Caenorhabditis elegans: one gene and its partners. The protein of the gene in region 2 purifies or fractionates together with the protein of the main gene of each other region. This does not show direct contact. Each region holds a gene or a part of one and is shown on either strand. Other genes may lie near its edges.

Region 1 (3,757 bases), about 10 Mb from region 2:
TCGTCCCAACTGATCTCATTTCTAGAAAAATACATTTTAAGAGTTTATTATGACAATAAGTGCATCTGCTATAATATGGGGTCATCTAAAACATTTTAAAAGGCAGTAAGCACGCATTGGGAAAGCGTAGGTCGCCTTAAAGGCATCAATTTTTGTGACTAAAAAACGGTACTTTACATCGAATCAAAATTTTCAACGATTTTTATGGAAGTCAACTGTATATTTTCAAAAACTCACTCAGCGACAATCTTATTAAGAAGTGATTCCAAGTATACATAATCAGGCGTATCTGCATATCCTAAAACTTTCAAATGTGCAACAAAAAGATGCATTTCATGTGGGCAATCATCTAGAAGAACAACCAAATCGGCTTCTTCCTTCATTTTTCCCACTTCATCCTTGTCCTTAATCTTTCGCCATGGTAATTGTCCTTGTAAGAACTCAGTGAGCATATAAAAAAGAGACCAAAGATCGTCTTGTCTTCCCATTTCTTTATTTTTATGAGCAGTTACTGCTGCATATCGAACTGTTCCACGGAATCCAGCTGCACTTCGAGGACTTCTGATTTCTCCTTTTGCATTCAGATATTGACGAGCGAGACCGAAGTCAAGCATATACACGTTTCGCATTGTTTGTGATGTGCGTCCCATTGCAAAGTTGGACTGAAAATGATTAATTTACAGATTAATATTTATTTATTTCAGACATCTATTTTTTAAAAATAATTTTGACTAAAATTTCATTAGGCCTTAAGATAATAGTTTTTGCAAAATCAATTTCTCAATTGTTTTTTTTTCAAAAAAACTTCAAACTTTAACTTACTGGTTTCACATCTCTGTGCAAGAATCCAATTGAATGAATTTCTCGAATTCCATTCAAAATCTGTATTCCAACACGAACTGCTGTACTCAAATTAAAGCACTGTTTCGGTGCTTCTCTTCTCAAATCAGCCAGATTTTTTCCTTGCAGACTCATTACCAAATAATTGAATTTATCGTTTCGTCCGCACCCGTAGAATTTACACGCGTGTTTTTTTCCTGAAACAAGGAGGTTTTATATCACAGGTTTTTATTGTGTAAAACGATTTTGTTTTCTCATTTTCCGTTTCTTTCAATATTTCTCAGAAACGAGATGCTAAGATGCCAACGAGACAGGCGTAATTAGATTTTTGATGACGGCTTGAAAAAAAAACTAGGAAAAAAAAAGCGAAATACGTCATAAACAGCCAACAAACCTTGAAGTCGTCGAAGAACTGCGACCTCCATTTTGAGCACTTGCTTTGTTGCTTTGCTTGATTCGACCTGAAAATGAATTGATAAAAAAAATGGTTTTCAAAATTTAAAGAAATTTAATACATGTGCAGGAAAATTAGGGTATTTCTATTAAAAAAGCAGACATTTCTCTCAAAAAAACATCCTAAAAATACCTTGATCGCTACCCGTTCATGGTGATTTTGAACATCTGTTGCTTCGTAGATTTCCCCAAATCCACCACCACCGATTTTCGCTTTCTGAAACCAAAACTTTTAGTTTCCGTAGCTTGAAACATAGAAACTCACTATTTTCCATCGTTCTCTGATGACCTGTCCAACTTGAAGAATTTCTCCTTCTGATGATGATGTCATTATTTCATCTCTGAAAATTTAAATTCAATAAATAAGAAAAATAAATGAAAAAGAGAATCTTTGAACGATGAAACGGCTATCGGACCGCAATAAGAAAAAAGCAAAACGAATGGGGAAGTGGTTGATGAGAATGGCATATTTCGTGAAGAGATGAGAAAAGTCGAATGGAAAACAGATGGGGCGCAAGAAAAGATGAAGCTGGACGAAGAAAGAAGGCGGTAGGAGGGAAAAGTGACAAATGCACCAAATATATTCTCTAAAATGGTTGGGGGTAGACATGGAGAAGCTGTGGGAGCAGCACACACAAAGAAAAAGGAGCGCCTTCTTCAAAATGACCAGCCGAAAAAGTATCAAGAGAGGCAACCTTGGAAGAGCTTTGGAAAATCTTCGAAGAAAGAAGGAAGAGATGTCCGATGGGGCTCATAAATCTCGCCGCGCATTGCCGACGTGTCACCTACTACTTTCTTCCATTTAAAAACGCATTCTTCCCATTTTGGAAGTGAGTCGGGTAAATAGAGGGCACTATGTATGTGGCACCAAGCAAAAGCTTATTTGATTTATACGCTCACGATTTGTCAAGTTAAGTTGCCAGAAATTACCATATGGGGGTTATTTAAAGTATTTTACGAAATAAAATTCTAAAGTAAAACATTACGGAAATGGAAATCTAAGAGCCGTCGAAATATTTGAAAACAAAATAATTTCCACAAACAGACAGAAAAAAAAGGAATTAGTTTCTGATACAAAGTTCTTGTCCACATTTCGGCAATGTTTTGAAAAAGCCTAATAAAGTTTAATAATTCCGGAATAAAGCGCTAAGTTTTTTCTTTTTTGGCCCAGTTTTTTTCAAGCCAAATTTGGGCAAGAAGCTAGCGCCAAATGCAGATAACTTCCACGAACTGTCCATGAAACAAAAATCGTGAAAATTCGAGAGAAAATCAAGAAAGTAAATTTAAAACAATTTACTAACTGCTAAAAGTATTCAGAAAATTATTAAACATTTGTTTTCCGATCATCACATTCAATTTCTTGTTTTTATTCTCTTGAATGTCATCGGAAGAAATGAACAAAACGATATAAATATAAAAACGAAATCGATAGCCTCCCCCCCCCCTGTCGGGACAAATCTCGAGAAAGAGAAATGCCCGCGTCCAGGAACAGCTGACATTTATTCTCCCGGATTGTTGAGCTAGAAGCTCCCGTGAGCCGCCTGCTCTTTTCCCTATCTTGATTGACGTGGCACAAGGACTAAAATACTGAAAACTCCCACGATTAGAGGGAGGATGTGGTGCACAAGGTGCAGAGATGCAAATAGATTCGAAAATGGAAGAAAAGGTGAGAAATCTAAAAATACTTCTTTAATAAATGGTCATTGATGATGATGATGATGGTGAAAAGTTGAATATAGAAGGCTATAGAGTGCTATTCTACGTAAAAAGGACCCGAAGAACCGGCCGTTTTGTTTGGATGACCATGAATAAATAACATTGGTAAAGTAAATGAGAGACAGAGAGACATACGGGACTTAACCGGGAGAGAATGAGTGGAATAGAGGGTCCCCGGGTTTTGTTTGAATATATGAACCAAAAGAAGGGTGACAAGAAAATAGGAAAAGAGTGCGTAGAAAATAGAGAAAAGAGGGGTGTAAAGTGCATTAAGGGGACCAGCTATTCGGCCGTAAGTGAACGGGAAACACGGGTCAGGATAATTGAGAGCGGAACGAATCCATCGGAAAATAGGGGGAGGACAATATAATCAGAAGATAAAGATCCGATGGGCATCGGAACTAAAGAGAGAGAATGACATAAAGTTGAAGGTTGCGAAATGCCGGAAAATGAGAAAAGGATTAAAAGAGGCGCAGGGATTAGAGTCAAGCAATTTTCAGAGTTAAAACAACAGGGAGTAAGAACCAGAAAAAAACGAGCATTTATCACAATTGACAAGCTTGTTTTCTTTTTTGCTCAAGACCTCCTGAGGAAAGCGGAAGAAGAGGCAAAAGTAATGAGTTTGTTGCCTGATTATTTTGGATTTCAGCTGACAATATTGAACAAAATATAGTTGAAAGAAGGAACTATATATATATATATTGCAATGAAAAGAAAAAAACCAAAATAGTCATGCAAATATTAGACT
Region 2 (3,757 bases):
ACTTGTGTTAATTAAAAGTGGTCTGAAAAGTTCTTGGAAAATTAATTCATATTTGAGTTCTAAAAGAAAATGCGAAATTTGTGGGAAATGGAAATTCAAGCCGAGAGAAAACAAGTTGGATATAAATTTATATACAACAATATTTTTCGATGACAGGTGAAACACGCAGATTTGAGGTAAAAATGAAACAACACAGAAAACATTTCCAGACTCTATTTGAAAATGTTTTTGAAATCCATAAGGAGGAGTCTGAAAACTTTCAGTTAAATAAATATGTTTCAGGAGGGTGCGGCAAATTTCAAAAATTATTTTTCATTCTCCAAATTAGTTAATTGGAATTTTGCAGTGTTTCCAGATAAAAACATTTATTAAAGATTATTAGAACCAAAAAGGGTTCCTTTTCTAGTTGGGGATGGAATGTAAACGGGTAAAAAAAAAAAACTATAGAGAAAGAAAATGCCAATGAGCCATAAACGAACTAAAAGATATTCCGTGAAGTTGCGGGGAGAAGAGATCAATTTTTAATGCTAAGAAGTCATGAGGCAATGTAACGAGAACTTATAGTTCCAGATGGAATTCCACCAACTCTAGACTGTTTAAATTTTTTGATGCCGTTTGAAAAAGTTGCTAGAGTTCCTAAAACATGATGATTAAGTACTTTTGTTATTTCAACATGCTCACTTTTGGCAGTACTTCTATACTCCGACACAACGAACATGACGATGAATGAATCAGTGGGAGGATACAATGCGAAGCTGCATAGCATGACACCAGATGGAAGACTGACGTCTAAGTTGAACAGAGGAAGAAATATTATAATTGTGATGGGAATGAATAATATGATTGTAGGAGCTGTTATCTGAACTTCATGTGTATTAGGAAAATATAATCAGGAGTAACTATTAACCTGGAGCACCAGAGTCTTGAAAAACTGTTTGTGGAGTTTTCTAAGAGTCTCCGAAAAATTCTTAATTTTATCTTCCATTTTTGTGTGCATCGACCATCCGCAGTAGATCATGACACCATATTGAAAGTTGACAATTGAGCAAATGTTCAATATTCCTATAACATTTCTCCATCTTACTGATCCATCCACAGGATCATAGGCAACTATTGCCATTGCTGGGATCTCAGTTATATTCGCATTATATCTAAGAAGCATATCTTCACGAAGGTAGTCATCTGTTATTTCGTCTCTTGCTAAGAAAAAGTAGGTACCAAGAGCATATTGAAAGCCAAAAAATGCGCAATAGAAAAACCAAAAAAGAGAATTGCATCCTTCGAAGTATGCAAGTTTGTTCGTGCTGAAATTTTTAGAATTGTTTCGAATTTGAAATCGAATTTCTGAATTTGTGAAATTTCTTACTCAAAAACTGCCCAATATCGATAAATGAATTGCACTGATAATAGAGACATGGTTGCGGAATGGAAAAATGTGTAAATTGCTGAAAAAAAAATTGAATTTTAAAGTAAAAAAAAAAGTTTTGCCTAACCCAGAGGAATATTTCTTGACCACGATCCACGTAAACCAAAAGATTCCTCAAAACTATAGAACAGAAAGCTGGCTTTGTAGTTGTGAACATTCTGAAACAATTATACTTACACATGTTTCCCACAAAGCATATTATTACCGGGTACACTATAATTTCTACTGTCGCAAAAGTCATTCCCAGCATTGTGAATGCAGTGATCAGGTACTTGTAAGATCCGAAATTTTTCTGAGCACCGAGATAGTTCAAGGACAGTAGACACATGCCAAACATAAATGTTGCAACAAATCCAAGTTTTGGAATAAAATGGGTCACATGAATCCAAAAAAGATAAGATCCAGACATTTTGGAGAAACTCTGACAATTATTAAAAGGTAGATTTTGATTTCATCGCAATAACTATTATTCAGTAGAATATATAGTGATTATTTCCACTTTTCGTTCTCCAAAAAATATCATATGCTAGAAAGTATTGTATTTCATTTTTATATCTTATTCTGTTTATGGAGCTTCTCGAATAAAAATGTTACGGAAATTAGCCTATGTTGACCAGATCTATAGTTCCGGTCCTGTCTACTTACGTATAAAAACATGAACAAAGGTATAACGTAACATGATGGTAGCACATACAGTAATTCAAAAGCATGGCTAAAATTAGGGTTTCCATGAAAACGCCTGCCTGCCTCGCGCCTGATGTATGGTGCGGCGCGAAACCCGAAAAGTGTTGGCCGCGGCGAGCGAACCACCTTACGCACTACGTGGTGCAAACACCAAGCATTTGATTTTACGCCAGGATGCAGGCCGGCATGATAAGGTTGGAGGCAAGTGTCAAAAAACCGTACATGCCTCCCATGGAAGCCCAAGCTAAGGTAGTGTTAGGAAAATTAGTTACTTCAGAAAATTACCAAGTGTGGAAAACGTTTTCGCAATCCTGGAATAATGTCAGCTGCTCTTTTGACTCACCAAGTTACAAGACCATTTTTGTACCTGAAATGACTCCGTATTCAAGCTACTGCAATACCCAAAAAGTGGATAATGTGAGTTCATCTCGGTCCTCGATCGATGTCGACTGCGAACATTGTATATTTTCTCTTTTAGTGATCGAAGCAATTAAAAATATATATTGTGAGTGTGAATCTGAAAATCTTCAGTAAATTAAAAATGTCTCTGGAGTGTGTGGCAAATCCCACATTTGCCGTGCTGGGCAAACTCCGAAAAATGAGAACATTTCTGATATTTCTAGGAGCACCAAAAGAGTTTTGAACAACGCCTATTTCACTCATTTTATGTAATTTTACTGTTGTTTTTTTTTAACTCAATATTTCCTATCAAATTTTTCAAAATCCAATTTGTGGTGTGTTCGGCAAATTTTTAAAATTTTCCCTGGCTCGGAAAATGTGGCAAATCCACTTTTTCGAAATTTACCGAGCTTGGCAGAACGGCAAATTGGGCAAATTTGCCGCACAGCTCTGATCCCATGGGACTCCCATAACAGTGACATGCACTGTACAAGCTCTAATTCTTACTTCTGAGCATGCAACCACAACAATTATCTAAACGAACAAACAAGTCTACAACGGATATAACACATCACCATTAAGGTTCTGCCGGAAATGATATACTGTCTATACAATATTTATTCTTCTTTGATAATAATTGAACACCATATTTCTACGAATATGACGGTGAACCTTCGCGATTTATCCCGGACAATTGCTGAATTCGCATTCCTTACCGCATTGGTGTGCAACTCCCTTTTGATCTATCTGACTGCTCGTCGCACTAAAAACATCACTGGAGCTTACAAGTACATGATAATTTTATTTGCATTACTTGGACTAATATTTTCCTGTACTGAAATGCTTGCAAGACCATTTGTTCATAATTTCAATGCTTCCTTTGTCTACTTTAGTTTATCGAATGATCTTTCGGAATTTAAATCTTTAGTTCAAATGCTTCTTGTTTTGTACTCCGGACTATATTCTTCTCTAATTTCATTCGTTGCCGTTCAATTTATTTACCGCTATATGGTTCTTGTAAAGTAAGTTGATTCAAAATTTTACAGAATGAACATATGATTTCTCAGCGCTAACCTTCTCGAATCTTGGTTTACTGGTTGGAAGCTTGTATTCTGGGTTTTCTATGTGATATTTTTTGGTTTCGCTTGGAGTGCATCAGTATATTTTTGTCTATTCCCGGACACCTATTCATATAATTATATAAGAACGGAGTTTAAAGACGTTTATAATATTGGTGTGGATCGAGTG
Region 3 (3,506 bases), on a different chromosome or scaffold from region 2:
GAATTTTCAAATCTTATTTAATTGGTGCCGAAAAGCTCAAAAACTTCGAATCAACACAAAAATAAGAAATTAAATACACAAACCTTTCCAATTCAGCAGATGTCATAGCTCGACTCGTGTCATTTATGCCCAAAAGTTCAAGATTTTTAACTTTTTCCAAAACTTCAAAATCAGCAGTCATCAGAATAACCATTGAAGAATCTCCGAGACTTTTTGATTTATTATAATAAAATGCAGAATAAATGAATATATCATAAGGTGCCGAATGAAATACTTCTTCATTTTCAAGATCTGGTGAATCGATTCGACTGGAAATTTATCGTTTCAATCATTTTTGAACGGTGATAATTTTTAACTATCAATACTTACATAAATTGAAGTAAGACTGCCGTTACAAAAAATAAAAACGAAAAAAGTAATACCACAGACAGAACCGATGGAATTATTCGTGGAAGCATTTTGGCTGATCTGACGCACTTGTTTTGTGTCCTAACGCGTCCCGCAAGTTATCTGAACATCTAATCTCGAACTACCTTCAATGAGTGCGACGGTCAAAATGAGGAGTAACAGTTTTCATTAATTTAGCAATAAAATAATAAGGCAAAAAATTTGAAAATCAAAGACAAAACAAATGAATTGAGTGGGGGAAATGATGGAAGATTTTGAATGTGAAGGAGCTGCTCGTCCGGATTTTTTCAGCTCAGTTTTTCTGGACAGGTAATAGGTCTGAATATAAAACATGATAGTGTGTGATGAATGGGGAAGAAAAAAACAATCAGAAATAAGGGGAGAATTGGCGGTAAACGAGGAAAACCAGAGTAGACATATAAGATGAAGCTGTGGATTGTTAAATTGCAATTGCAAAAACATAGACGATTGCAAGCATTGTTTTGGCTTCCCAACGGTACATGTACGAGGCTGAAAATGAGATTTTTTGAGCTATAAGTTGAATACCAACTTTCAAAATCAGAACTTTGTGAGTAATAAATTTATTTCCCTCTTTATTATTTAATGTTTTAATACAAAATGTTAACTCACAATCCGTGACTTTATTCCAGTAGGAAATCGTGCTAACATTGAGACCGGAACCGCTCGAGATCTGAAGGAACGACGAGGTAACCACATATTTGTATGGTTTTCCCGCTGCCACTAGCTTCTTCGTTATTTGTTCGACGGCCTTCTGATTCCACTGAACACTGTCCTTGTGGGTATACTGGGTGCTTGCGCCTACAACCTCGTCGAGTACCTGAAAGATTATTGGATTACGAGAATGTGAATAAACAATAATCAACTCAAAAATTATAGTTTTTCAAAGAATTAATACAGTAGACATATAAAATATCGGTACCTGCTTGATGATCATGTGAACGTCCTCCTCTGCCAAAGCCATGATGTTGAGCTTGTGAGAGCTGAATATTGAGTTTAATTATTAAAAAAGAGACAGTATAAATAAATCAAGTGCGCTCAAACGGCAATTGAAGTATCAGAAATTAAGATATAAACATCTTTAAATAATTTATTCTCATAAAACGAGAATACATACGACTAGAAAATAAAATCAAAAAACTAATATTAAATTGGAAATACAGATAATGCATGTTATGGTAGGAATGTTATGTCACAATATGTGAGTTTTGAAAATAAATAGTTAAATATATATTTAGGCTTCCGGCTCGAAATCGACATGAGTGAGGCATGCAGATAAATCGCGTCCGAGTTCAGCTGTTCCAGCGCAGAGAACTTTTCTTGACATGACGTCAAATGGGGATCCAGTTGGATCAGTGACAACACCTCCGGCTTCTGTGACAATGATAGAAGGAGCAGCAACATCCCAAGCGTGAATCCCGTATTCAACATATCCATCGCAACTTCCTTGTGCAACCATCACCATGTTGATCGCGGCGGAGCCAAACGAACGGTGTCTGAAAAAAAAACTTGGATTTTTTTCAAATAACTTTTATTATGTATAACAATATTAAAAATAATAATATCACATCATCCTCGTGATTTTTTTCATATTAAACTTTGTCCATCCAACATCTAACTTTTCCATCTTATCCATTTCTCAATTTTAGTAAAACTTTCAAAAAATTTGCAAACGCACAGTTCAAGAAAGTCACTAGATTTCGACAAGAATATAAAAAATATTTATAAGTACCCGTGACATTGTTTGTCGAACATAACAGTCTTGTAAGAATCAACAAATGATTTCTGCATAACAGGAGATCGAATTGAGCCAAGTTGAAGTATGAGCACACTTTCCGCAATGACTGGAATTTGCAACGTTTCTATGTGAATGTAAATAAAATTGAAAGTAAAACGTGCAAAACCAGCGCGGGAAGTGTGGAGGTATATTTTTTGTAAAAAAGTAATCAATTTTAGACCAAAAAATTAAAACAAACCCTCGCACACCAGCCATCACTTGATTTCGCATGTTTGACTGGGCAATGTCGAGCCAGCGATCGCCGAACTGAACACGATTATGCAGACCGAGAGATTGACAGAGAACTCCCTTTGAAAGCACTTCAAAAAGCAGGGTGCATGACAAGAAAAGTGCAATTACTTACATTGATTCTTTGATGCTCGGATTGGAAATCCATTTTTGAAAGCTCCCTTTCCGAGTTGAGCGAGATAAAGTTCATTAGTGATTGGATTGTATACGATTCCAGCACGAATTTGTTTTTTGATTGCAAGTCCAACGCAGATTGCGATCATAGGGATTCTATAATAACATAAGAATTTGTTTTTCGAGAAAAATTTGAGTCCAAATTAGAAATTAAATAACGCGATTTGCCATTATTTGAAGAGTCCGATTTAAAAAAAATCTTACCTATGAACAAAGTTAGTAGTTCCATCAATCGGATCAATAATCCATGTTGGTGCATCAGTCCATTCAATTTTCGCACCTCCGGCTACAGATTCCTCGCCAATGAATCTGAATCAAAATAGTAAATTTATGTAAATACTCGATTGAAAAAGAAAGTCCAACTGGTTGTCATGGAGACAATGAGTGAAATCGAGCGGACCGTGGGAATTCCTTGCTCTTACCTATGTCCTTTGAATCTCTCGGAGAGCCCTTCGATGAGAAGCTTTTCAACAGCTTGGTCAGTTTCAGTCACCAAATCAGTATTCGATGATTTTGTGTCAACCTTGCTTTCCGGGGAGTCAAACGCGGTACGGACGAGCTGAAAATGTTTTTTTCGAATATTGATGTTTTTTCAAATAATAAAATTTGTTTCGTAACTGAGGAATAGAGAATGTTGTTTTTCGAGTTACGCATTTGATTTAAATGTGCATATTTGTAAAATTAACAAAAATAAGACAAAGATAATAACGACGTTGTTGTTTTAGGAAACAGTTTGATTTTTTAATCCGAATTCAACTCACCGTTCCAGCTTTTTTAACCAACTCAATGGCGTAGTCGACGAAAACTTGCTCTTCCTCGTGGATTGGTTGGAACACCATCTAAAACTTAAAATCAATGAATAAAGAGCTGAAGGGAACCA

What was found.
Region 1: the proteins of str-13 (region 2) and ttbk-7 fractionate together in Caenorhabditis elegans (co-fractionation; one large-scale study listed by BioGRID). This does not show direct contact.
Region 3: the proteins of str-13 (region 2) and dylt-1 fractionate together in Caenorhabditis elegans (co-fractionation; one large-scale study listed by BioGRID). This does not show direct contact.

Annotation. Positions count from the first base shown.
Region 1 is NC_003283.11:12,894,239-12,897,995, forward strand, and holds the start of ttbk-7 (Protein kinase domain-containing protein), read right to left. Parts: upstream 1,635-3,757; 5' UTR 1,625-1,634; coding exon 1,559-1,624; intron 1,511-1,558; coding exon 1,427-1,510; intron 1,302-1,426; coding exon 1,235-1,301; intron 1,038-1,234; coding exon 823-1,037; intron 663-822; coding exon 238-662; intron 22-237; coding exon 1-21.
Region 2 is NC_003283.11:2,725,367-2,729,123, forward strand, and holds str-13 (Seven TM Receptor), read right to left. Parts: upstream 1,836-3,757; coding exon 1,632-1,835; intron 1,585-1,631; coding exon 1,494-1,584; intron 1,446-1,493; coding exon 1,367-1,445; intron 1,305-1,366; coding exon 908-1,304; intron 860-907; coding exon 682-859; intron 637-681; coding exon 536-636; downstream 1-535. Other genes in the region: G-protein coupled receptor str-33, read left to right, coding at 3,170-3,531, 3,577-3,757.
Region 3 is NC_003279.8:7,299,505-7,303,010, forward strand, and holds dylt-1 (DYnein Light chain (Tctex type)), read right to left. Parts: upstream 1,410-3,506; 5' UTR 1,391-1,409; coding exon 1,349-1,390; intron 1,247-1,348; coding exon 1,039-1,246; intron 919-1,038; coding exon 848-918; 3' UTR 561-847; downstream 1-560. Other genes in the region: BAH-4 (Glycosyltransferase family 92 protein F13G3.3), read right to left, coding at 84-308, 370-458; Inositol monophosphatase ttx-7, read right to left, coding at 1,661-1,922, 2,403-2,523, 2,568-2,722, 2,831-2,935, 3,049-3,185, 3,388-3,465.